Linked DNA regions of Drosophila melanogaster. The protein of the gene in region 3 interacts with the protein of the main gene of each other region in a pairwise test. Each region holds a gene or a part of one and is shown on either strand. Other genes may lie near its edges. The genes, in order: CG32450, tal-AA, BNIP3 and CG31600.

Region 1 (4,957 bases), 1.8 Mb from region 3:
AGCTTAAAATTTTGGTGTGTTTGGCAGTTTTGGCTTGGTTTGGTTTGCTTTCGTTCGGTTTGGTTGGCCCAACATAGATTTGAAGTTTTTTGTTTCGCTCTGGCTGTCGTTCAACTGCAATGCATTAGCCAATTCCGTTCTTGTATAATTTATTTGAAATTTATTTGTTGGCTGATTAGTTTGTAATTAGCCGTCGGTAGGGCAGCTGATTCGCTTTTGTGGCCATCGTGCCATCGAGTGTGCTGCAGGATCATTTAAAGCCCATTTCGACTGCCCTAATCTTGCCCATCTCCCCTTGGATGGGCGGCCTGTAGCTAAGTGCATGCAATTTGTTTATCGGCATTAAAGCTCTGCCAAAAACTTTGCAGCCTCTGCAGTTTGCGCCTGACATTAATGCCTGCGAAAACAACACCCCACCCACTTGCGCACACATTTATTAGCCAATAAACTTTTGACCTCATTTTACCGAGAAAAAAGGTAACACACACATAAACTAAATGCAGCCGAGCGGGTGTGAAATAGTGGCTGGGTGGCTCGGAAGGGAACCAACAAAATATTTGTGCTGCCAACCTGGGAGAGGCACAGGTTTCGAATAAATAAAATAGGACAAAAAAGTAAAAGGAAACTCGGATCATAGAAACCGAGAGGAGCAAGCAAAAATATTTGCACTGGCATTCCCATATTATTTCTGCTCTTGTTACTCCTGCTCCTGTTGCTGTGTTTGTTCTTGTTGCTGCTGCTGCTGTTGTTGTTGTTGTTGTTGCTGTTGTTGTTGTTGTTGTTGTTGTTGTTGTTGTTGGTATTATTGTTGCTGGGGGTCCAGAGCAAGGATTATAAATTATAACAGCCTCACACGGTTATTTATGTCATGTCAATGGGAAGGGGTGTCACACGGAAGGGGATATATCATCAATGCATGCGCTTAGTTGAGTGGAAATAGCTGCGAAATAAAACTATGCATTCGGGACTGGCTTTAAAGTGGAGCAGGCCGAGATGAAAGGGACTTAAATCGCAGCCAGCCCCAGGATCCCATCGCACCGCACCACAGCGCAGCGCGCTAAGCCAGAGATCTGCTTTGAAGCTTTTGATTTATTTGCTTGATGGCAAATCATTAATTTGCTTTGAGCCAGAGCAAAAAGAAAGCACGAAGCTTAGCATGCTTTTCAGCTGCTGTCAGATTTTCGGGCGACAAACAACCACCGCACGAGCAAAAAGGCAGCCGAAAGAAGCAAATTTAAATAAAACGCAAACCAACAAAATAATCCGACACATGCGCTGCCAAATGATTACCCAGGACTTGGCCCCAAAACCCCCACCTAATCCTATGTGCAATGTCTTTCCCTTCGCTCTGCGGGGTTCAGTGTGTTTTTGCAACATAAAAAACCAAACAATCACTTCATTTTATTGCGCCAAACGAGAAAGCCCAAAGCTGACACTTTTCCAGTCGCAAAAAAGGTCTCAATCATTAAACGGAATTGAAGGATCATATCGATTTTGTTGCTTAGAAGGGTACAAAGCCTGGTTGGATTCGAGAAGGTACTTTCCTCGATTCTCGATTTTAAGATCCCCAGTCATATCCGAGTGGGGATCCAACTGAGTGTTGATTTAATTAATCATCGGATCTATCGGTTTTGCGCAGCCAGTGGGCATTGCTGCTTTCACATCTCTTTGCTTTTGGTTCGGATGGATCAGTGGTTAATAGGAGGGGGTCAGAAATGTCCTTTCGCTTCCAGATTCCCTGCTTGTATTCCGGACCGTACTTGTCTTTCATACGCTGTTCAAGCTCGTACAATTTTAATGGTGTCCGTTTAGCCACTGTATGCTGCTCGAGGTCAGACTTGGTCAGAGGTCAGGGGCTATAGGTCCACGCACAAAACTTACCATACTCCGCACATATTTGTACACCCCATAGCCGATGCAGGCCAGAATTAAGGGAACTACCACAAACAGCCCCACGTTTAAACTATTCAGCTCGGGATCGCTGACCACGTGGGTGACATCGACGGTTTCCAGGGCAAAGGGTGGGTAAAAGAAGCGAATGATCTTATAAGTGGCATTGGCCAAAGTATGTTTTGGAAAAGGCTTCACGATGTCCACAAACCTCAACGACCAGTGCGAGTCCGGCGGCGGTACCGTTATATCCATATTTTTAAAAAAATGTATATAGAGAATGTTAAACCAAAAAAAACAGCAACGTCGAATTTTAGATTGTTCTAAAGCGACTTCTACTTGGTACTGGACAAGCAGCACTCTAAAAATGACTGATCCATCAAGGGCAACTCAATTAGGCCCGGTATTCGTGAAAACCCTTTAGCCAGACATAAATCATCGCCTACTTGGGAGCCCCGGAATGGCGTCATTGATTTATTAGCAGGACATACGCTCGAATCGATGCTGCTGGTGAAAAACTAGCGACAGAAGTGGCGGTGGAAAATGAAGCTAAAGTGGGAGCTGAGCAAAACCAGCCAAACCATCATCAGTCACCAGGCAAACAAACACGACGAGGACCCAAAGCGCAACGGCGTCATATACAAAAAGTGCTTGCATACATTACCCCGGAACCCATGAGCCGGAATAGATGTGGGGCGAAGGACCAGGGTCGCAGGACACGGTGTGCGCGGCAGAGGAAAGGACGCGTGCTTACTGCCAGAAACACGTACAAGAAATCATGAAATGTTGCCGCCATCATACCGAAAATTGTACGGGTAACGTGCAAGCAATCAAAGTACATGGAGGCAGGACTAGGCAGGACTCGACTCGAATCGACTGCGGCAACTAGAGCGCCTCGACATTGCCAAGGCCTGTGTGCTCCTCGAGCAGCGCCCACACGTCTGATTTTTACTACACACGTGTGCTGATGTGACGTCGACAGGATTGTGACTGCCTACTGACAACACTAGTGGGCCTTCTCCTTCTTTTGGCCTTCTGGGTCCTAGACTCCAACTGAGCATCTGGTTCAGACCAAGACCGAAACCGAAACCAGTCTGGCCGAAATGTAAAGTATAGTTGACGCAGACGTGCCAAGCTCGACGTGGCTGTCGTAGATGCTGCTTTTTGCTGTTTAAGTAAGCATGCAAATGTCACATGTAGACGGTAGTCGGTACTCGGTAGTTGGCGGTATCGGCAGGAGGGGATCAAGGGGAAGTGGGCGTGATAAGCACTCTCAGTTATGAAGGTGGGCATTGCTTGGTTTTCGGGCTCGCCGTTTCTTGCCCCTGCCACACATAAATGATGAGGTACACGTTGCCTCAGGCTGAATTTAGTGATTTCCCCGAGCATGTGGCATACTTTTTATGCGGCTCCTCCACGTGAGCATAAGGAGCTTCGGTTTATGGTTATTGATTCAGCCGAGCGGAGGTGGAGATAGTTTGAGTTATGGCCTCGGTCTGATTTGTGTCAGCAGGAAGTTTAAAAGAAATTGTTGCGCACTTTCGGGAGGCCAAAAGTGGATTACTCAGAGGGTTGCAGGCAGGTCCCCTGATTGAATTGGCTTAGCTGGGGGCGTACGGAACGAGATTGGATTGGATGGGGATGGGGACTTGCAATCAAAAGCCTAGTTTGTTGCTGCCTTCGCCAACCTCATCGTATTGGCAAAAGGTGGCAACCCTCGATCCACTCATTGTTCGATCAAAAATTCATGGCATACCCGTACGTTGGAGAGGTGCCAATAACTCGGCTGCTCCACTGACAATCGCCACTGTCTGTCTGCCCGTACGCAATTTACAATTACCGCACGCACACACAATTTATTTTGCAGCGCTAACAAATAAGCTAAACATTTTCGTGGCCAAGGGCCGTCCCGCTCCCAGGTGTATAGCAAATCAAAAAATCAGACAGGGCTGGGCACGAAGACACGCCAGGCAATCAGTTAAATGTTTGTTGAACTCACCAGCGTCGAGGTCCTTAAGTTCTCAAGAACGCACGACTCGCCGGTTTCGAGGAGTCCCAGGGGCTTCGCTTCTCCGCTCTCGATGCGCTCCTGCCCTTTTCCGAAAATTGAACTTGTTGGCGCCCAGAACGCAGAGCCCCGAAACCGCACCGAACAAAAAAGACGGAGAAGCAGCTCCGCAGAACGATGAAGCGGCAACTTGAAAAATCGCTTGTCGCACTGCAAGCGAAGTGACGGGGAACGCTCACGCGCAGTCGTAGTGATTTGGCTTTAAAAAAGCAAGGAACATTCCGGAGTTCCGGGGCAGGAAGCAGACAGCAAAAGACGCTATGAAAGCTGCCACGTAATGAAACTGACAATTTAACTCACAGTCAACCAGTTGTTTTGGATTTCAGTACGGGTTCGACGGGGAGCTGTGTGCGTGCTGAAAAATCGTGTTATCGATTTAATGCGTTACGATATATAAGTATATACAACCCTAGTGTGTGTGCAGATTGAAGGGTTGGGCTGGGTTGGTTTGGTTTCGATTCGGAAAAAGGGTTGCTTGCCTTTGGCTTTGGCTTTTATCGCTCGCCTGTGTCTTTGTGACTGGCTGACTGACTGACTGACGTTCTCGTGTTTGCTTGCCAGTCCTGTCCTTTGACCGTTTTCCTCTCGCTCTTTCCATTCCGTACTGCAAAGGCATTTGATTAATTTGCAGCAGTTTTCCATTTGGAATTGCTTTAGTTTCCTGCAGTTTTGCCACTCTCGCAGTGTGCAGGATTTGACAGCACATTTGAGGCCACTTTCCCTTCCGTTTGCTCCGCCACTTTCTCCCTATGGTTGTACGGCTGTGTGTGTAACGTTGAAAGCTTCTTATGGAATGTTAAGTGATTTTTTATTGAATTTTTAAGCCCCACTTAGGCGTTGTCACTGGCAGTATACCGGACGTCTTCCCAAACGTATCTCGCTTCCGTCTCATCCTGCCGACTTGCTTACTAAATTAACAACCTTTTCTTGTCTCCTTTTAGGTACGTATACGCAATTTTATGACTCTGTCCCCTCGGGTGAGTGCTAGTATTGAAAATC
Region 2 (5,616 bases), on a different chromosome or scaffold from region 3:
TGCGGCAGGGAAAGTGATCGAGGGGGAAAACTCACCGACTGACAGTTGTGCCAACAAATGTTGGATGTGGCACGTGGCGCATTTTGGGAAAACAAAAGGTGCAAAGCGGAAAGGGAAACTCGGGCCCAAACGATGCATAACGAAATTCGTGAATAAAAAAAAAGCAAAAACCATTTGGAAAGTGAAAACCCAGAAGCGGAAGCGCCAAAATGCAGCGAGGATGATGCGCATCCGGTGCATCACTTAAAAAGGTAAATTTCGGTTTTGGGGATCCCGATCCCACGCCAGGTAAATCAAACAAGCTAACGGCAAAAGAACTCCAAGCTGAATGACCCAGGGAGCATTAGGTTAATGGACAGCTATGGGGTTTCATTTCAGATGTAGTTCCCTGACTTTAAGTAAAGAATACAGGATCACAGTAGTATTTAACTCCCAAGTGCATGATTCTTTGAAAACTTTAAATAACATACACTCGAAGTACCCCTTTGTCTCTAGTATACAAATAATAAAATTAGTTCGCGATTTAAATCTAAACTAAATAAAGGAGTCGTTCTTATTTATATGTGAGGCCCAATTGAATGGTATTGGATTCGATATGCTTTCATCTGATCAATCTGATTTCAAGGTCTCAATCTGATTTCATTTCCACTCGAACCCGTGCCAAAAGGGTGTGGCGATCATCTTACAGGCGGCGAATATCTTCCCGTCTCCGGAATGGAATCCTTGATTCCGGGCCCGTGCCAAAGGGTTCCATCCCCCGCTCGTGGCAAGCAGTCGTCCTCCACTCGAATACTTCGTAGTGTGCCGGAAGTGCCCCTTTTAGTTGTGAGTTTTTTACGTCGCTGTAATAAAACGAAAGGATTTATATTTCCTATTGTGCGGCAGATGACACACCTTGTAATCCTCGCCTGCTGCTCCCGGCCTCACCAGCTGACTTGGACAACGAGCAAATTTGGGTTTAAAAATATGTGAAAGATCGAGAAATTCTGCAACACCTCGGCGCAGTATCTCATTATTACTTTTTGTCGCATCCCAGTGGCCTTTGTGAGTGGACCTGCCTCCGGTGTCGCATTTCGCGGAAGCACCCGTCGTTTCGGTGGGTCGTCCAGCACCGACTGACTGCTGACTCATGCCGAGCGTTTATCCTTTTTATGAGTCGGCAGTTGCGGCCTAAGCCCTTTGAGTCCTCAGCCTTCGAGTTGGCCCGGCTTAGGCTACCACAAATGTCACGTAAAGTGGGCAGTGGCCGTCGCGCCGCCGGCTCAAAGACCATTAATTTGGGACTTATGGCACATAAGGATATTAGCATTTTGGCAAGGATCTTCGGCTTGTCGTCTCTGTTTGACTAAGCGGCGACAGCCACAATCTGGGGTTAACATCTATATTCCCTCATTTGCACTTGGAATGGTATATTAATGGATATTTGCACTGTGGATATATATATACAACCTTACTTAGACCTGTGACCAAACAAAATCTTTGTAGTTTTCATGCTGTTACAACGATTTTTTACTATTGTAATCTTTTATTGAAGACATGTTGTTCTAAGCAAGTACGGCAGATATGTTCATAGTTAAAGAACTTCATTTTATATGCATTGTTGCTTTATCGTTTATCTTTTGGAAATCTCGGAAATTGTAATACAAGTATGACTTAATTCTTTGGTTTTCCAAATGTATTTATTAATTCTTTAGTCTCTAAATGTAAAGATCATTTCAATTAAAAAACAAATTTCCCACATTTCTTGAAAATCTTCGTTCATTTGGAAGAAAAGACTATTGTCCTACTTTGAACACCATTTTTTCGAGTGCACTTTGCCCGGAATATACGAAATTTGGCAATAAAATATACCTTAATTAGCTGCGGGCCTTAAAAGAAGGTGGAGTCTGTTGCCTCAGGATCGCAGTCTGAGAATCTAAGGACCAATGGAATTCCAGGATAGTTCTTACCTGAGCTCCTCCAACGCACACATACACACAAGATCCTCACACACGTGTGAGCAGAACGAGGCCACTCGATCAGAAACAGCTGTTTGGTGAATGAAATCCAGGTGGGTGTGAGCAGAGCGAGAGAGAGGGAGCGAGAGCGGAGAGAGAGAGAGCGAAAGCGAGAAATGCTCTACCTGGAAATGAATGAAAATACGATCGTGATCATCTCCCCACTCGCTCTCACCCACTCGCCTAAGAGAATGGTGCCATTAAGAGCGCGGCGCACCTGCCGTATATCGTGCTCTTTTGCACTCGCTCCCGCTCTTGGAGCACTCGACAGCGACGCCGGCAGCGACGTCGAGCCGGTCGAGCATTTAAGCTTACGACTTGACGAAAATCAAATCAAAAGATCGACAACATTCGACGAGTGCAGATCACCAGCTAAAAGAAAACCAGCTGAGACATCAGAAAAGTCCGCAGATATTCACGTAACGCCTTAAAGATTTTCCGTGCGGTTCCCGAACAAACTAAACATTATTAACAAACAATAAACGAATTTGTAGTGTCAGTGACTTTTGAACGCACGAAAAAATTCCCAAACACACAACCAAACGTGACTGTATATTCAGCCCCAAGAAACCCAACAACTGGTGGTGATAATAAAAGAACTTACAACAACAGCGCCGAGAACCAGTATAAAGTTCAATACCGCGCTGATTCAAATTAAACAAAGGAGAATCGACAGCAGCAGCAGCAGCAGAAACAAAAAGCCAGCTCGGTTTTGTCATTCAAGTATTTTTGGTCAATACACGGCATACGAAATGGCAGCCTACTTGGATCCCACTGGCCAGTACTAAAGAAGCTACACGACGACAGCAAGACATCGTAATCGTAGACCTCTTTTAGAAAATCCAATAAATCACAGATCTTCGCCATGGCCGCCTATCTGGATCCCACTGGTCAGTACTGAAGTTGGAGCAAGCAAGCAGAAGCAGCAATATTTTGAGTTCCAAGCCGAAAGTTATTTAAAACAGTATCAAAATGTCGCACGATTTGGACCCCACTGGCACCTACTAAGGTTCTATCGCAAGAACTCCACATAGCCAAGCATTCTAAGGCTGAATACTATACCCACTTCAAAAGCTCCACAAATACAATCCTTAAAAATGCTGGATCCCACTGGAACATACCGGCGACCACGCGACACGCAGGACTCCCGCCAAAAGAGGCGACAGGACTGCCTGGATCCAACCGGGCAGTACTAGACGCTGATATCCCAACAACAGTGCCCCATAACGCCCGTGCCTTATCCACAAACTCTGGGCATGATTGGGGGAGCGCGCTGGTTGCGCGTTCGTGGCCGCGAGGAGACTTCCAGCTGCCGGCGGAGAAGAAAGCTGGGGATCGGGGCTTCCCCAAGCGATCTTGGGGAGCCCTGCGATGGAGACTTTTGTATTTATGTAGTTTTTGCGTAGCCTATCAATACCTATTATATTAATTATTTATTATTATCATACTATTTAAATTAAATACTGTTCATTGCTGTTCACAAAACACCGATACGCACACATACATATCCTATATCCTATATTGTATCACACATACACCATATATGTTATATATATATACTATACACTTGTAATTGCTTCTTCAAATTGGAAAAGATTACGCAAAGAGTATTATGTTTAGTGTCATATTTCCCGAGCAAATCATCGTTTGTTTAAATTATCATTTATTTATTGCCAACGATTTGTAATGTTCTTTTTTTCTCTCTCTCGCTGAGAGCAAGGAAAACCATTCGGAGAGCGAGAAATTTTGTTTAGATCATAAGCGTTTTTAAGCTATTTATATGTCTACACCTTCGACCGACATCCAGAGAACCCCAACACACACCTCTCACACCCATTTAAATATAATATTAAAAGAAAACCATATTTAAAACTGAACATTTTGAGTGCATTTTTTCCTTTTTCCATCGATCGATGGGTGTATGGATGGACCAGCGAGCAGCAAAAAATTGTCGCATTAAATTACAAGATTTTCCAGATACACAGAGATACATGCCCACACACATACACACACACACACACACTGAGTTAGATCTCTGGGGGCTCCGCCGCGGACAAATTGCTGTCGGGTGAGCATAAAATATGATTTTCCAAACGGCCAGCGCATATTTGATGAATCTGTGGGCATTAATTAATGTCACTGGGCGGTCGCCGGCGGCCAAGCGGCCTGGAAATGATCAATAAAAATGGAAAAACACCGAGGGGGGGGGGTAATGAAAACGCATTTCCCAATGCAAAAATATTATCCGGACAATCGAAAGAGCGAATCTTGATCGGGCAACGCTGATGCGGAAGTAAAAGTTCAATGTTCGTTTGTGCTCCACAAGTGATTAGGTCAATAATAGCATAACAACTACAGCCGAGAACTTGTGATTCTGAGAGAGGGGCAGAGAGAGCGCTAGCTCGCAGATTTCCACTTAAGAGAGCACAGAGCTTTTCACGCTCTCAGCCAGCAGGTTTTTCCAGCAGGAAGTTCCCGCCGAAGAGGCAGTTTAACTCTTTCGCCAGAGAGCGGTGGAAAACGAGAGAGACTATTAATAGACACGCGCGCACTAGCTTTTCAGTATCAGTATGAAGTTCAGGGAAATCCACTCGCTACGAACAGCTGATCGCCAAGGTTGCTGCGCGGCCGGCGCTGATGACGTCGCCTAACGGAAAGCTTTCCCACTCAATCGAGTGATTCGAACTGAAAATGCAATTGGGCGGATCGTCTTGTCCAGCTCGGGACTCCATTCCATTCAATCTGATTCGATTGACCCGCCTGCAATCAGATCTTCCCAGGAACCCACACACGCGGTGACCCAGTTAACTTGTTGTCGCCGATATGAATGAATATCGCTTTCAGCCACAGAATGTGTATAAGCCAACTCATGTTCAACCAAAAAAAAAAAGCAGCCAGCACAAGTCACGGGCGAAGAAAGATGGGCGAAACTCTGAATACCCTGTAAAATGAATCCTGAAGCAAAAATATTCTGGAATCTCGATATTCAATTTTGATTATTGTTTTTTAAAGTCATATGCTTGACCTTGTGCCATCAATATATTTTAAATATAAATTGCAGTTTTAAATCTAATCAAGCCTTTTATATCTTATGGGATTCAATTGGTTCAATTGGTTGTGTGAAACATATTTCTAAATGTCTTATAATAACATATGACAAATTTTTTGAAAATTTGCAGGCCATTTCGCCCATCTCTTCACCGAAATGATGTGAAGTTCTTGAAAGGAAGAGTCTGTTTTCAGCACTTTCTTCTCCTCCGTAGCGAAGTGTGAATTCTGGAAACAAACTAACCCCAAAACGCTCGGCAAGGGTATACAAATTAAATGAGCAAACGAAAATCCGATTCCTCATAACCGCAAGCAGAGAACTTTCTAAGTGAAAGTTGGCCGGGGATGGAGCTACTAGAAAATACTGTCGGTGCCTCGGACTCATCGCCCGACTTTTAGTCAGTCATTCAGAGTGCGACGGGATGACAGACCCCTTCAGTGCCGCCCCCGGATCCAAGTTCCAGCTCCAGCTCCCAACGTCCCACGAGCTCCACACACAGATATTCACTCACACACACACACTCACGCACACACGCATACTGGCGAACGTATAACTTGACCTACATTTGTG
Region 3 (8,590 bases):
ACATCGATTGCATCGTACTGTTTTTTTGTTCAAGTAATAAGAATTAAACCAATATTCAGAATTTAATTGCTAGGGCATGTGAAACTGTGTTATTAATATTAAAAGTAAAATGCTAAAAGCTTTCATTTAACTTTACTGTGAGTTCATGAAGTATGTATAAGATTTGGATCGCTATTTCATTGGATAACTTTAAAGTCTAAACATTAAGGAAAAGTTTTCTACAAAACCTGCAAACAAATTCGTCATGCTATCGCTATAAAACTAACTTGATTATAAAAGTTAACGACCGAACCCTAAATAATTGTGATATCTTCGATTTGAGCATGGACGCCTTACCACAATAGCAGCGATGAACGTCAGGACCATCATGACGAGCACGATGATGGTGGCGATCAGCCGTGTTTCCGCAAACATTTTCTTGATCTGCTTGAAGGGACCCATGAGAAAGCAGGTACTGAAACCGGAGAAGAGAGACTCATTAGCCGGCTTGTGTGAAGTACGAGTGGAACGGAACCAGCAACTCGCTCACCTGGCCATCGAGATGACGTTTCCTAGAGTGTAGAAGACCGCAAAGACCACAATGCCCCTGTGCAGAAATAGGGCGACCGAGCCGAGTAGGGAAAGTAAGATGCCCAAGGCAAAGCAGATGACGAATCCCTTGATCCGAGTGGACCAGCTCAAAGTGGACATGTCGTTGATCTGCGTATGTAATTGATTGATATTAACTAAATACTTTGATAAGCGTTGGGTCACACGGCTTGGGGCGCCATGTGATCGCGGGGCGTTGCCAGCGGCTAGCTCCTAAGCCACGCCATAATCATAATTCCTCCAGCCAGAATATGTTAAGGGATCTAATGAGATCTGTACCATTAGAAAATTTCTTCACCTGCGTAATGATACTGCTCTCCTCCTCCGGAGTGGGCTCATCTCCACTCAGAACGCGGCGCAACTTGTCCATTATGCGGCGATTGAATAATGTTCAACAGGTGGCTGACTTGGAATTACCGGCACTCCTCTCGGGGGGTTTTGCACATACAAGGGTCTCTTCTGTTTTTATGCTCCGGAATTTTCACACCAAAATAAATCCAAGATCATACCTAGTGTGACCGTGGTGGTAACCGTTAACATATACCGTCCGATTAAAAATTATACCAACAATTTGCAATTTTATATATATCTTCATAAAAAAACTAAAGAAATCAGATATTAGTAGTGCATTTTTGTTCAAGAATATCCATTTAAAAACAAATATGTTTTTATATCAAAATCATATTCAAAATATAATTTTAGCTTTTTCTAGCTAGCATGCCATATTTAGAAACTTTGGCAGCCAACTGCTGGTCACATTCGCGACATCTGGCAACGCCTCCAGCATGTTTTGTTCAGCTCTACGTAACATTTTGAGGAATTCACAAAATGCGGCTAAAAACGCAACAATTACCTCACAAATACGAAATCTGCGAGGACAACAAAGTGTCCACCATGAGGTAGAAGTGTTAACATCACCGGGTATAACCACCAAACAGAATGACAAGAAGACCGAGCCTGCGGAATGTGAAGGCTCCAAAGAAGTGGCTCTGGACTTCCGAAATCGGGAGGCCCATGTGCCTTCCTTCAATTTGGCGGCCTATGTGAACAACTCGAGTACCCTGCAGCAATTTCTCAGCTTGGGAGTGGATCTGCACAGTATTGAACGGCGAAAGGGATTGGGAGACTTTGTACTGAAGCTGGATTTCGAGAAAAATGTGAAGCCCTACATAACGTTCCTGGTGGATCAGGGCGTATCACCCGATGACTTCGGCAGGATGTTCACCAAGAACCCGCTGCTGTTCAAGGAGGACTTGGACGATCTGCAGACCAGAGTGAACTATCTAAAAAGCAAGAGATTCTCGGACGAAGCCAGGCAAAGAATTCTCACCCAGAATCCTTATTGGCTGATGTTCTCCACCAGGCGAGTGGATCGTCGATTGGGTTACTTCCAAAAGGAGTTCAAATTGAGTGGTCATGATCTGCGACTGTTGGCCACCAGAGAACCCAATGCCATTACCTACAATATGGAACACCTCCGCAAGTCTGTGTTCACCCTTAAGGAGGAAATGGGATTCAATGCCAAGGAGCTAAGTGACCTGGTGGTACGAAAGCCGCGCCTCTTGATGATTCGTAAGTCTATCTACATTCAAAATTAAGGACATTTGTAATTAAACAACTTATCCTTGCAGCTCCGGATGATCTTGTCGAGCGATTTAGTTACATTCACCAGGATATGGGCCTTCCACATGCCCAGATTGTCCAGTGCCCGGAGCTTTTGGCCTCACGCGAATTTAGACTGCGGGAACGTCATGAGTTCCTGAAATTGCTTGGAAGAGCGCAATATGATCCGCAAAAAGACCTGTATATATCGCCAAAAACTATAGTGGAAGGCAATAACTTTTATTTCGTCCGAAATGTGGCTAAAAGTGATTTGGAAACATTTGATTTGTTTTTGAAAACGAGATAAGAATAAAATAAAAGTAAATGTATATATACTTTTCATATTCATATATGCATATGCATATATTTTCAAAAGTCAACAGAAACCAAGTTTTATCATTTTAAAAATAACCACCAATAAATTTACTTGATACAAGGGATGCCAGATGTAGGAAAACATAGACACGCACCTGGATTGCTACCGTTTCTCCATCTGGTCACACTGGACAGCAACAAAAGATTTAAACTACGCATTAAGCTTGTGCGTAGAAACGAATCGTGTTTAATTTTAGTTACAAGACAGTCGCTTCGGGAGAAGCATTAAACAAAGTTGCAATATTTCGGAGCTCCAGCGGTTGGCTTCAGTCCGAAACCAGTAGTTATAGTCAAATCGAGTGCAGCGGCGGAGAAACAGCGCCAAACGAAAAGTAAAACGCATTTTCCTACGCATACATAAACAGCAAAAGCGAATACACAAACACAGGCAGACATACGGAAGGGCCAAAAAAAACTTGGTCAAACTCACGAAAGAATAATAGAAATAGTTTAACTTTAAAGCGAGTTAATAATAAGCAATAAACCCAAGTTATCTTTGGTGTTGACGTGTTGAACACACATACCGATAAACAAAAACAAAATGTCTACGACACCAAAATCGAGCGAAGATTTGCTGGGCGGTAAGTTGTTTGTTTTCGTCTGCTTTGCTCTTTCATTCGTGTTTTTTTGCGTCTCCCCTTTTTACAATCATAACAATAACATGGTAACCCGTTATGCCGCATTGTTGTTGTTGCGAGAGTATCTAGACATGTGTATGTATTTATGGAGTTGTTTGCAATTTGTTAGTATCCGCATCCCATATTTTTTCAAGGCTTTGCGTTGTCTGCTTTTTGATTTCTTTCTGCTTTTATTTGTTTACTTTGCACTTGTTCTTGCTCCGCAGAGGGGGCGAGAAAGAAAGAGAGACAACAAAGAATCCGCAAAACTCCGTATGAAAACAAAGACAAAGAAGCTGCCAACGCACTCTTTCTCCCTCCGCTCTTTCATTCATGTCATGTCTTGTTCCTTTACTTTGCACTTAGCACGCTTGACGTCAGTTGTGGTTTACTTTTTGCGCTCCCCATTTCCCCGACCCGGTCTTCTTCTTCCGTCTGGCTTGCTAAAATAATTCGTAAATAAATACATTTTGTGGGAGGGCATTTCCCTATCGGTCGTTTCCAGAAATTGCGCCTTTGGCATATTCGCTTCAATTGTATTTCGGCTGCCCACTTTATCAACATCCACGTTTACACTCGCGGAAAAACTAGGTTATATAAATTTATACTCATCAACGTACTTGAATGTGTTTTTCAAAATCTCTTAATTTTATGAAAATCGTATGATGGACAATATTCAATAAATTTTCTTAGGAATTGCACGAAATGTTGAAATATTTTGTTGACATAAAGTATAATCTTTTTGGTTGACTGCTTGAAAGCACTTTGTTTGTTTGTCGAAAAGGTTGTTGACTACCACAGAAATTATACTACAATTCTGCAAAGTCACTCACAAAAGTAATGCCGGACGAAAAATTTGTTTTTCAATTTACTACCATCCAAGCAGTATTAATCTAATCAGTTTTAGCCCAAATCGAACCATATGTTATGAAATACATCACTTTTGAAAGGTTTGACACAGTTTGGATGTGGAATTCCGTTATCAATGATAGCATATAAATATTATTCATATGTATTTCTATACGTTTGAATGAATCTGATATTAATCTTTTAAAGCTAAGTATGTACATATGTATATGAAATAAGTGTGTAAGTAATGCGCCGGCTTGATCTGTTTCTTGACCTTAAAACACGTGCGAAATGAATGACCAACTTAGAGAAACATTTTTTCTTTGTGCACTGTGCCATATACTACGCAAGAAATCGTATCATGATACCGAGGAGTCATCCATCCAATAATAAAGGCGGTTCAATGGGCCCAACTCAGGGTCTTTTGGACAGCTGCGCATCAAGATGCACACCCGACAAAGCCCGAAGAGGGTAGGGTAGAAAGAGAGAGAGAGAGGGGGAGTGATTGTTAGAGAGAGACGGAGGGTGGTTGGCCGAAAGAGAGGGAGAGAGGCCTACGTGCCGTGAGTCACAAAGCCATTGTTTTTGTTTTTGCCACCCTTCTGTGCACTTTTGCTTTTGTTTTTGTTTCCATTTTCGTACCTGTAACCCGGATTCCCGATAATGCTCCAAATATTGTTTACCTGTGCAAAACTTCTGCGTCTACCTGACATACGGGCATTTCCATTTTCTATTTTCGCAACATTTCCATCATAAATGCATCATCCTTTTCGTCTAGACGATGCATTTAGTATTCAATTGTCAGCATGATTGGTGTGCCACGTGAGTGATCTGAATTATTCTGTAACTGATTCCATCGCGAAAGTGTCTAAATTAGATGATTGTACAGTGATAACTCGAGAGAAAGCAATACCAGGAAGATTTTAAATTTATAATGTGACATTACAAAATTATAGAAAAAATTAATTTTAATTAATTAGAAAGTGAATAATAGATGATATAAGAGGCGTTGGGTGTGATCGTATGTGTGATTATATATATGCGTATACATGTAATCAGTTGGTTGTATTATTAGGTAGTTTTTAGGAACGCTACACTGTACTCCTTATCAAGTAACTTGCACGCTTCTCGTGCCCATATTGCATCGCCAGTTTGTCTTTTTTCTCGATTTGTTTTGAAAATGAAATTTTCTCCGTAGAGCATTGATAAGCATCGGCTTGTATAGACTATAAACAAAACATGTGTGCTGCTTTATATACACAGTATGCCGAAAAGAAACGGAAATTATGCGAGTGGTGGGGTTTTTAGCGTTATCAATGGGGCACGAGCACTCGAACAGATATATACAAGCACATACATTGCAGATCCGGCTAACGAATCGAACGTATGTATGGTTAAAATGTTTTTACGTGTAAACAAAAACGAAGACAAACGCTGAAAGGGTGACGATGGCACATTTTTAGAGCCGCTGCCGCCGCACAGTGGCTCTCAAACTGCACGCCTTTCTGAGTAAACAAGTGAAACTACTTTATTTTGTCAGCAAGTGTAATTTTAGACAAGGGATTACTTTAAACTGACGTTTATCAGCTTAGAAATAAATAAACTGTTTCATAAATAAACAGTTAAATAGGGTTAAACCATTCAAAACTTAAACATCGTAAAATATTGATATGTTCTGTATGAAAATTTCTAAAATTAAATTAAAAATTGTTGTTAACGAACCTAGAACGTTTTCGTTTGTATAAATTCAATAAAGAACGTCATAACGCACGTCTGTGTTTGGACTTCTCATGTTTATTCAACACGCCCCAAAAGGTTTCGACCCTCGAGCCTGTGCTATATTTAACCACCTCCAAATGCAACCAACTAAATATTTAATTTCACCCCATTTGGCTTTAGCTTTCACCCACTTTGTTCGCCAGTCTATCATGCTAATGATCTACTTTCCAGAATCTTGGATCGAACTCAGCACAACAGCTGCGATGGCTGGCATCAAGAGCCCCGACAGAATCACTCCGTTGCCATTCAACAATGGCGAGGAGTACCTGAGACTTCTGCGCGAGGCCCAGCGCGAGTCGAACCAGTCGAGCCGTGTCGTCTCCTTGGCCAGCTCCCGTCGTGATACGCCCCGTGATAGCCCCAAGAGTCCACCGAACAGTCCCCAGTCGGAGCTCTGTCCGGATGATGAGCTCAGAAACGTGTACATCAACTACTGGACCAAGGTAAGAGATGAGAATCGAGGCGGAACCGAGGTGATCTTGCTAACAATGCCAGTCTCTGTTTTTGCTTTTGCCAGGGAGGAGACAAACAGAATGCAGGCAATGAAGATTGGCTGAAGAACTGGAATCAGCCACCCAGGTATGAAAGTTTATTTAGCTAAGTTTCTAGAATCTAGAACTAAGTTTGGAGCATTGCGGCCTTTTACCACAAATGGTCATTCATTGAATTATTATTTACAGTAGCTGGAACATTGAGGATTCAAGTCGGGATGCCGGCGACGAGGGCGAGAAAAAGAAGACTAACACAGGCTACTCCATCCGTTTGAAGCGACTGGGCTCCAACTCGTTGTTCTCCCGCGAAATTCTGTACTCGCTGCTGGTGACCAACGTCCTGTCCCTGCTGCTGGGAGCTGGATTCGGGTAAGGGTCTCTAGCAATCTTCACCAGATTCACATTTCATGTAATGGTATTTATTTATAGGCTATGGTTGAGCAAGCGTGGCATACTCCTTACCCGTGTGGTCATTGACTGAAAGATGCCATAAACAAAAAGGAGAAAGAGGAAATATATATAATCGTTTTCAATCTATCAATATGCACATCAATCGAAAACAGAACACGATGCGTTCCATATAAGAAAACGAAGTATACACATCTATACAGCCAACCGTATTCCAACTCATTTGTATTTTTATCGGAAGTCTATATTTTCGACACCTTCTCATTCAGTACATACCTATAAAAATGTAATTTCTAATTACTAAGCCAGCAAACTAAAACAGGCCTTTGGGCAATGGTTGAAACTAAGCGTTTTCATATTTTATATAATTTTATATATTTAACATTATATCAAGGCAGCAAATCTAATGATACAGAAAAGCATTTATAGATGCTCCATATATTTTGCTTTAGCCGTATGTCTTAGCACCCAACCGTGCATTATATCCAATACAAATGTACGCCGAACTTCGTGTTAAGAATTTCAATTTCATCATCATACATCATATAGAACAACCATAAACATTTGTAGACATATTATAGTTGAATCGTATTGTATCCTGATTGTACTTTTTGTTGAACAATCGTCAAATGTTTCGATACAATAAGCATATAAGAAAAACGATACAAAAGGAGAAAAAAAAACAATATGGCACACATAAGATTATATCTTTAATGTGAGGGAAGGGTTATCCCCCACACAAAAAAAACAGAATAGTTGTAATGATTTTTTATATTAAAATATTTTTCAATATCTATTTAAAAGAGCATCTGCAAACATTTTTCTTTGGTGGGTTTTACGGAATTGCAAGAGATGGCTTAGAAAGTTTTGAGAATTTTATAATCTTGGAAAGACGGATTAGTGAGATGAAAGGGATTTTCAGGGAAGTGCTGCAAGGTATTTTGAGATGCCTTTTGTCTAAAAGGCATTCCCGGTGCTTGTTGTTGAATAAGTCGCCTGTTGTTTTGAAAATCGCTAGACGTGTACCTGTTCGCATTATCAAACTGTTTCACATAAGTGAGGGCTTGGATTACCTTTGTGTATATAAAGGGAAAAACCCGCTATTTGCATTTCGCCATTAATATTTTTTTGAGATTATCAGCAGTGAGTCAGTATAAGCGATAATTTCATCATAATGTGCTAATAGTCAACTAATTTTGTTAGTTGATCATTTAGACTTGTTATCAATTGCCAAGCGAATGCAATATCGATACGAACTAAACTGCCGCCCTTTAAAGTGCATAAACTAACTGTTTTTGAGTTGCTTTAGCAATTGTAATTTTATTTAAAGTTTTATTAGGTAATAGTGTCTAAATACTTAGGTGATTAACACAGTTCCGAAACTAATACATATTCCGTGTGGTTGCTGGGAAAAATCCTCGTGACTTAAAACAATATTCAATCGACGATTTGTAACTCAATGAAACGATCGCTGGGTGATCGTTGCTAGCTTTGATTTTATGCTATATAGACAGCCATAAGACGGTGAATCGAGGCAAAACTGGGATGCCAATTTAAGTACAGCATAATATCAGATCAGATTAAGATCCGCGCATTATATATATATATATTGCCTAAATCTAGATGGTTAACTATAGCTACCATTTGAGCCAATATCAGAGACGACATCGAGATGTGGAGAGAGGAAAAAACATTCTTAACTGACTTTTGGCCCTGGGCTATTCCTGACCGTTCGAGTTTCTGAGATTTTGTGCGGCGGTGCTGGTGGAGGGCGTTGGCGAGCCAGGGGGCGTGGGAGTGCGTAGGGAGCGTTCAAAGTCCTCCGCTAAATCATCGTCATCTCCCTCCTGTTGCCAACTGTCCAATGCGGAGTCGACATCG
Region 4 (5,359 bases), on a different chromosome or scaffold from region 3:
TAGTGAACCAGTTCCACCAAATATCACTATTATTGACCTATCAGTCTAAAGGATATTACACCATTTGGAGACTGGCCAGTTTAGGTAGGTTTTAGCGAAGTTTCACATTGCCTTAATATGCCTTGGGCTAAGTACGGGAACCTTTCTGGGACTACTCGCAATTAAATTTCGATTAGGTAGTTATCACCGAATAGTAACGTCACTCAGCTCAGACTTTATCTCCCTAGGGGATGCAAAAGGATAGACTTTGGTACCACGGTTTTCGGCTTCCATTCATATTTAATGGCATTGGATACCATTTTGGCAGAATATTCAGGGGTTTTTTGAATGTCCTTGTATGTTTTTCCTTCCTTTCTTAGCTTAAAAATTAACATTATTTTCTCCTGGGAGCAGTGCTGTCCTCTACCCACTAAAATAATTTTTTTTAAATTATTGCCCCTTTAAATACGCGAATTAACTTAACCAAACTCACTTTTTTTTAGAAAATATTTATAATTTCGGGACTTTACGTTGGTCAAAACCAGACACTGCTATTCTTATGAACAGTCTAAAACTTGTGATTTTGCTCAATGTAATGTAAAATGTAAATAAAAAAAGGATAACATGAAAAACTAGCCGTGTAGTGCGTAATAAGTGTACGTGTAAAAAAGAGTCGAGTCCGAAAAGGGACTTGGAAGAATACCTTTGTATTACTCAGTTTCCTTCGCACTGCTATTTTTCTGAACACAGCTACATATATTTTTAATCAAGATCAATAGCCGAGTCGATTTGGCCATGTCCGTCAGTCCGTATAAATGTCGAGATCTCAGGAACTATTAAAACGAGAAGTTCGAGATTCAGCATAAAGATTGTAGAAACAAAGACGCAGCGCAAGATCGTTGACCCATGTTGCCACGCCCACTCTAGCGCCCAGAAACGGCATAAAAATGCCACGCCCAAACTTTTGAAAAATGTGTTTATATTTTTTCACGTTTTTATTAGTCACTTATTAATATTGAACAATATTTCGATTTCCGAATCGGTCATTTTATTTCCCAATATCTATCGATATCCCAGAAAAATGATGCACTTTCGCGTTCGTATACACACTAGCTGAGTAACTAGTATCTCACAGTCGGGGAACTCGGTATATCCGAGCATTATCTCTTGTTTTTAAAATATCTCTTTAGCGGGGTATTAAATAATAAAGAAAATTCAATTTGTTTTAAATTAATAGAAAGCACTGTTCATACATCTACCTTAGGTCACGCCTTCGTTCATGCATTTTCCACAATTGATTTCCTGATATTATCTATATACATTTTTAAACCAAAAAAGACAATAAATTATAATTTGGAAAAGCAAACCGGTACATTTTCAGACCAATAATAACGGTATGGAATTGTCAAAAATGTGTACGTTTTGCTTAATGTGAATTGTTTTTCCATTCCGAAAGTTTATTTTGCCTTCTAATACTCACTTCCGTTTCCGCTGCACAAGACCAAAGTGTGTTTCCGCTACCCTATTACCACTCCATTCGCCATTTGAAACTTTTTTCGTACTCATCGAACGAATTATAACAAAACCAATTTTCCATGACAAAAAGACAACAGGAAAAAACCAAATTACAAATCAGACAATTAAATACTCATACTCAATACTCGCAAAATGTTTGACATTTATTAATTAAAAATAGGATAAACTGTATATTAATTTTATTCAAATTGTCATCGGCAATAAAAGACAGCTTATTTCAATTTATTTCTTTGTTCCATTTCGATTTGTCATCTACATATTGTATGCAATACAGTGGCATAGATTAAAACAATACAAACATTACAAGAAACTGCATTTAGTACTCAAGAATGGTTACATGGTAGTGTATAGAGTAGTAGTATTTGGTTAGGGTTAATAAGGCTAATGTTTCAAAATGTGTTTTTAACTAAATCTATTAGTACCGCAAGCCCGTGTGTAATAACTCTTTTATGTTTCCTTTCGCCGATCAAAGAAATACATTTCTTCAAAAGCGTTGCAGCAAGAATAAGTAAAATTACCAGTTCCACAAAAATAGCCAATCTGAGCTGCAAATGACTTATATGTTGTATCGGCATAAAAATGTTTTTAACAAAGTCACTGCAACCTTGGGTGATAAGGTCGGGATGGTAGCAGTGGGTTGGAACCCCTTGTAGATAATCCATATAAGAACGGGGACCCTCCAGTCCACAGCATAAAACCTGTGAAAAGCAAAACCCTTGAAAGGGCAAATGAGCAAAGGCATAACACATACCGCATTTTCAATCGAAGGCCAATCTGTCTCGTTAAAATTGGAGTATGCCAGCCATTTAAGGTTTAAGCTATCCATGAATGTACTATAGCTCCTGTTCATGGCTTCTAGTTGTTTTGAAATTGTGAAGTAAGTCCAATGAAGGACGAGTATCTGCAGCGGTATAAGCTAATTTACAATTATCAACCTCACGTTTTTTTTTTGGTAAAGTCCTTACCCCGAGAACAAGCCAATCATCACGCAAATTGGCTAAGTATAGGCTGACCAAATTCAGGCAAATGGTAATGGAAACGGTACTTGTTAGAAAATTAAAACAGTTAAGCACATTAATGGTTATTTCAGCGCTTTTAAGTCGCAGAGTAAAGGGTATAATTACTCGAAATAACACAGCCAATACAAGCTAAGTGTAGAAAAGTTGTCAGTAAAAACTTGAAGACGGGCTGCTGATTAAATACTTACCCCAAATAAAATAGCAGTTAGCTTTTTTATCATGCCCTCTACCATTTTGAGAATTATTTTAATATACGTAGCTCAATTTTATTCTACGCAAATTGACAAAATATTCGAAGCTGGAAATAATGGCCTACCACATAAATTCAAATTTTTGTTTTCCCAATTATGTATGTATACGAAATCACGCAGGTTTTTCTATTTGTGTTTCAATTCCTTTTTTCTGGCAAAATTTCATTGTTGATTTATGGGATTTGCTATTTTTGACAGTTGTTTTTGCTACAACGAATGAGAGTGTGTGCGATAACTGTTTGTAGGTATAAACATGATTTTATAATCGGCTTTCTATATTAATTTTAATTTTATTTTCGGCATTTTATTATAATTACTCTTGATATATGTAAATGGTCATCGTTAGCAAAATTATCATTCCGTATATGGCTGTATTGTTGCTGCACTTGATGTCCACATGGATGTCCCTCAACTCGTTAGGAAATTTACTACGCACTTTTTGTTGTGGGTTTTCAGTTCGCCAATGGGCCATGCGAAAAAATATTTCTGTGGCTTTAAATATTTTAATTGTCGCTGTTGGCTCTGTTCTGTTATTTCATAATCGTATGCTCTTTGTTGTAAGTCAAAAAGGGTGTAGTTCGAAATGCACAATAAAAATTGTAATATTTTGGCAAAATATTTATAATTATTAATGCTAATTTCAACAAATCCAATGCATTTCTGGCATTCTATTTGGACGATGGCTAAATACTTTGGTGTTTTGTATCTGTTTGTGATATTTTAATTTTACTGTCGCATTTGATCATAAATTAAGCGATTAACAAATAAGGGGCACCGTGGGTTATGGGTGCTCTTTTGAATTCCCTCGATGTGGCAATGGATGGAAGGGGCCAGTAAAACTATATTGCTTTTGATAAATGCCGATGGTTAGGACTCAGAGTGCGCCGCATTGAGCGGTTTAGTACTTAGTACTCAAGTGATATTAGAATTCCTGGTAGATTAAAAAAAATAACAAAATAATTGAAATATGAAAATGTGTCAGAAATGTTTCATTTAATCATATCCAATCGCGTTTGCCATTCAAATAAATCTCAAAATATATAAAAACAAATTTTTTACATTACAGTGAAGTTTTTGATAAGCCATGTTCGATACAACTAAATACTTTCCGCGTTCAGTTGATTCCGAGCATCCGTCCCAGTCGGAGCACAATGAGTCCTTGTCACTGGATCATGTCGTCACCTACGATATGGTCCATAACCCGGAGGGAAGATCACCTGATCACAGTGTCATCGAAATGACATCGGAAGCTGACCGGCATATAGGACACGATGTCACTTCATCTCCCCAATTGATGATTATATTTGAAGAAGGCGACATCAACAGTGCACTGCACTTTATTATTGAGTCGGTTCATAATCCCTTTGCCTCGAATGCGGTGGCCATGGTTCTGGTTGAAGAGAAAATTCGCGGGGAGATCGTCGAGCGAATCCTGTCTAAGCTACATCCTCTTAGTAAGTTTGTGGCCGAACATCCTAGCTATCTGGCAGCACTGGAGAAATGCCACACCTCCAACTTTAACATAATAAGGGCCTGCATTTCGGAGGTTGCCCCACCAATGGCTTCACCCATTTTTGTGTGTGACTGTACGCACGATAAGCTGGGAAGTTACCCAACTGGAGTAGTAACATTTCACACATTCCGCAATAACCAGGAGGCCATTGCCATAAGTCAGTGCGAATCGTTGGCCTTCGCATCCGTCTCCATTTGGAACGAAACGCTAACTGGATGCTACGATCTCGTGGCGGCCCTCAGCTCGTCCTATTTTTTTCTAAACTGCGCCAACGTTGACTTGTCGCCAATTTTAAAGCCACACAAGGCCCAGAAAAATTACGTGGTAGTTGAAAACGGCTTTCACTTCGAAACCCTACGTATCTATGACAATTTCAAAGCCATTGTATTTCCCATTGGCGGACAAATATTGCCAGACATCGAGGATCACAAGGAGGAGCACGCAGCTATCTTCTTTTTGGAAGCTTAGTATTGGAATGACTTCCACGACTTCCCCTTTCATCCGATTTCGCAAAAGTGCTTGGCAGATTCAAAATTTAAAGTTATTTTGGGTGTTTTTATGGTTATTAACGTTCATGATGCGTGCCAATATACAATGTAAGTGCAGCTGTCAGCGGTAATAACAATATTTCTTTTCTTCCGGATATTGACTTTTTGGGCGTCTTAATGAACGCAGGTTTTTTGTATATAGGTTGCGAATTAATTCGACACAGCGTGACTAACTGTGTATTCGATTTTTTTAAATTTTATTGGGACATTGAGAAATGGTAAAATGTTGGTCTGTTATCTTTTCGCTTAAATATTGTTTTGTTTATTCGTGCCGAACACTGTAAGAATGTTTTCTAGCTCTGCAGCCGATACTTATATTCAACTTGGCAATCTGATACTGGGCATGACCGAATAAATTTACGATCGCACAGCATTCCGGAGTCACCACAAGCATCTGCCCCATAAAATCATTTTCTTTATGGGAGTATGATGAGCGTATGAGTGACGCCAAGTCGTCGCTTTTGGGCACTTAAGGTCTGAATCCAAAAATAAAGCCCGCTCGTCAGTGTAATT

The links.
Region 1: the proteins of BNIP3 (region 3) and CG32450 interact in a two-hybrid assay, tested with the Drosophila melanogaster proteins (one large-scale study listed by BioGRID).
Region 2: the proteins of BNIP3 (region 3) and tal-AA interact in a two-hybrid assay, tested with the Drosophila melanogaster proteins (one large-scale study listed by BioGRID).
Region 4: the proteins of BNIP3 (region 3) and CG31600 interact in a two-hybrid assay, tested with the Drosophila melanogaster proteins (one large-scale study listed by BioGRID).

What each region holds. Positions count from the first base shown.
Region 1 is NT_037436.4:22,327,082-22,332,038, reverse strand, and holds CG32450 (uncharacterized protein), read right to left. Parts: upstream 2,262-4,957; 5' UTR 2,146-2,261; coding exon 1,882-2,145; intron 1,823-1,881; coding exon 1,610-1,822; 3' UTR 1,382-1,609; downstream 1-1,381.
Region 2 is NT_033777.3:13,810,777-13,816,392, forward strand, and holds tal-AA (tarsal-less AA), read left to right. Parts: upstream 1-2,332; 5' UTR 2,333-2,749; coding exon of another isoform or gene 2,750-2,785; 5' UTR 2,786-2,862; coding exon of another isoform or gene 2,863-2,898; 5' UTR 2,899-2,969; coding exon of another isoform or gene 2,970-3,005; 5' UTR 3,006-3,094; coding exon 3,095-3,193; 3' UTR 3,194-3,872; downstream 3,873-5,616. UniProt on the Drosophila melanogaster protein: One of four peptides (tal-1A, tal-2A, tal-3A and tal-AA) produced from a polycistronic gene that function redundantly in several developmental processes.
Region 3 is NT_037436.4:20,513,524-20,522,113, reverse strand, and holds BNIP3 (BNIP3), read left to right. Parts: upstream 1-2,720; 5' UTR 2,721-3,106; coding exon 3,107-3,146; intron 3,147-4,809; exon of another isoform or gene 4,810-4,837; coding exon of another isoform or gene 4,838-4,853; exon of another isoform or gene 4,854-5,415; intron 5,416-5,981; coding exon 5,982-6,253; intron 6,254-6,327; coding exon 6,328-6,389; intron 6,390-6,490; coding exon 6,491-6,670; intron 6,671-6,730; coding exon 6,731-6,782; 3' UTR 6,783-7,515; downstream 7,516-8,590. Other genes in the region: CG5104 (uncharacterized protein), read right to left, coding at 337-454, 530-699, 887-958; mTerf3 (mitochondrial transcription termination factor 3), read left to right, coding at 1,374-2,160, 2,220-2,497; CG32425 (uncharacterized protein), read right to left, coding at 8,428-8,590.
Region 4 is NT_033779.5:21,912,536-21,917,894, forward strand, and holds CG31600 (uncharacterized protein), read right to left. Parts: upstream 2,824-5,359; 5' UTR 2,768-2,823; coding exon 2,723-2,767; intron 2,664-2,722; coding exon 2,481-2,663; intron 2,432-2,480; coding exon 2,267-2,431; intron 2,214-2,266; coding exon 1,905-2,213; 3' UTR 1,734-1,904; downstream 1-1,733. Other genes in the region: CG11634 (uncharacterized protein), read left to right, coding at 3,870-4,766.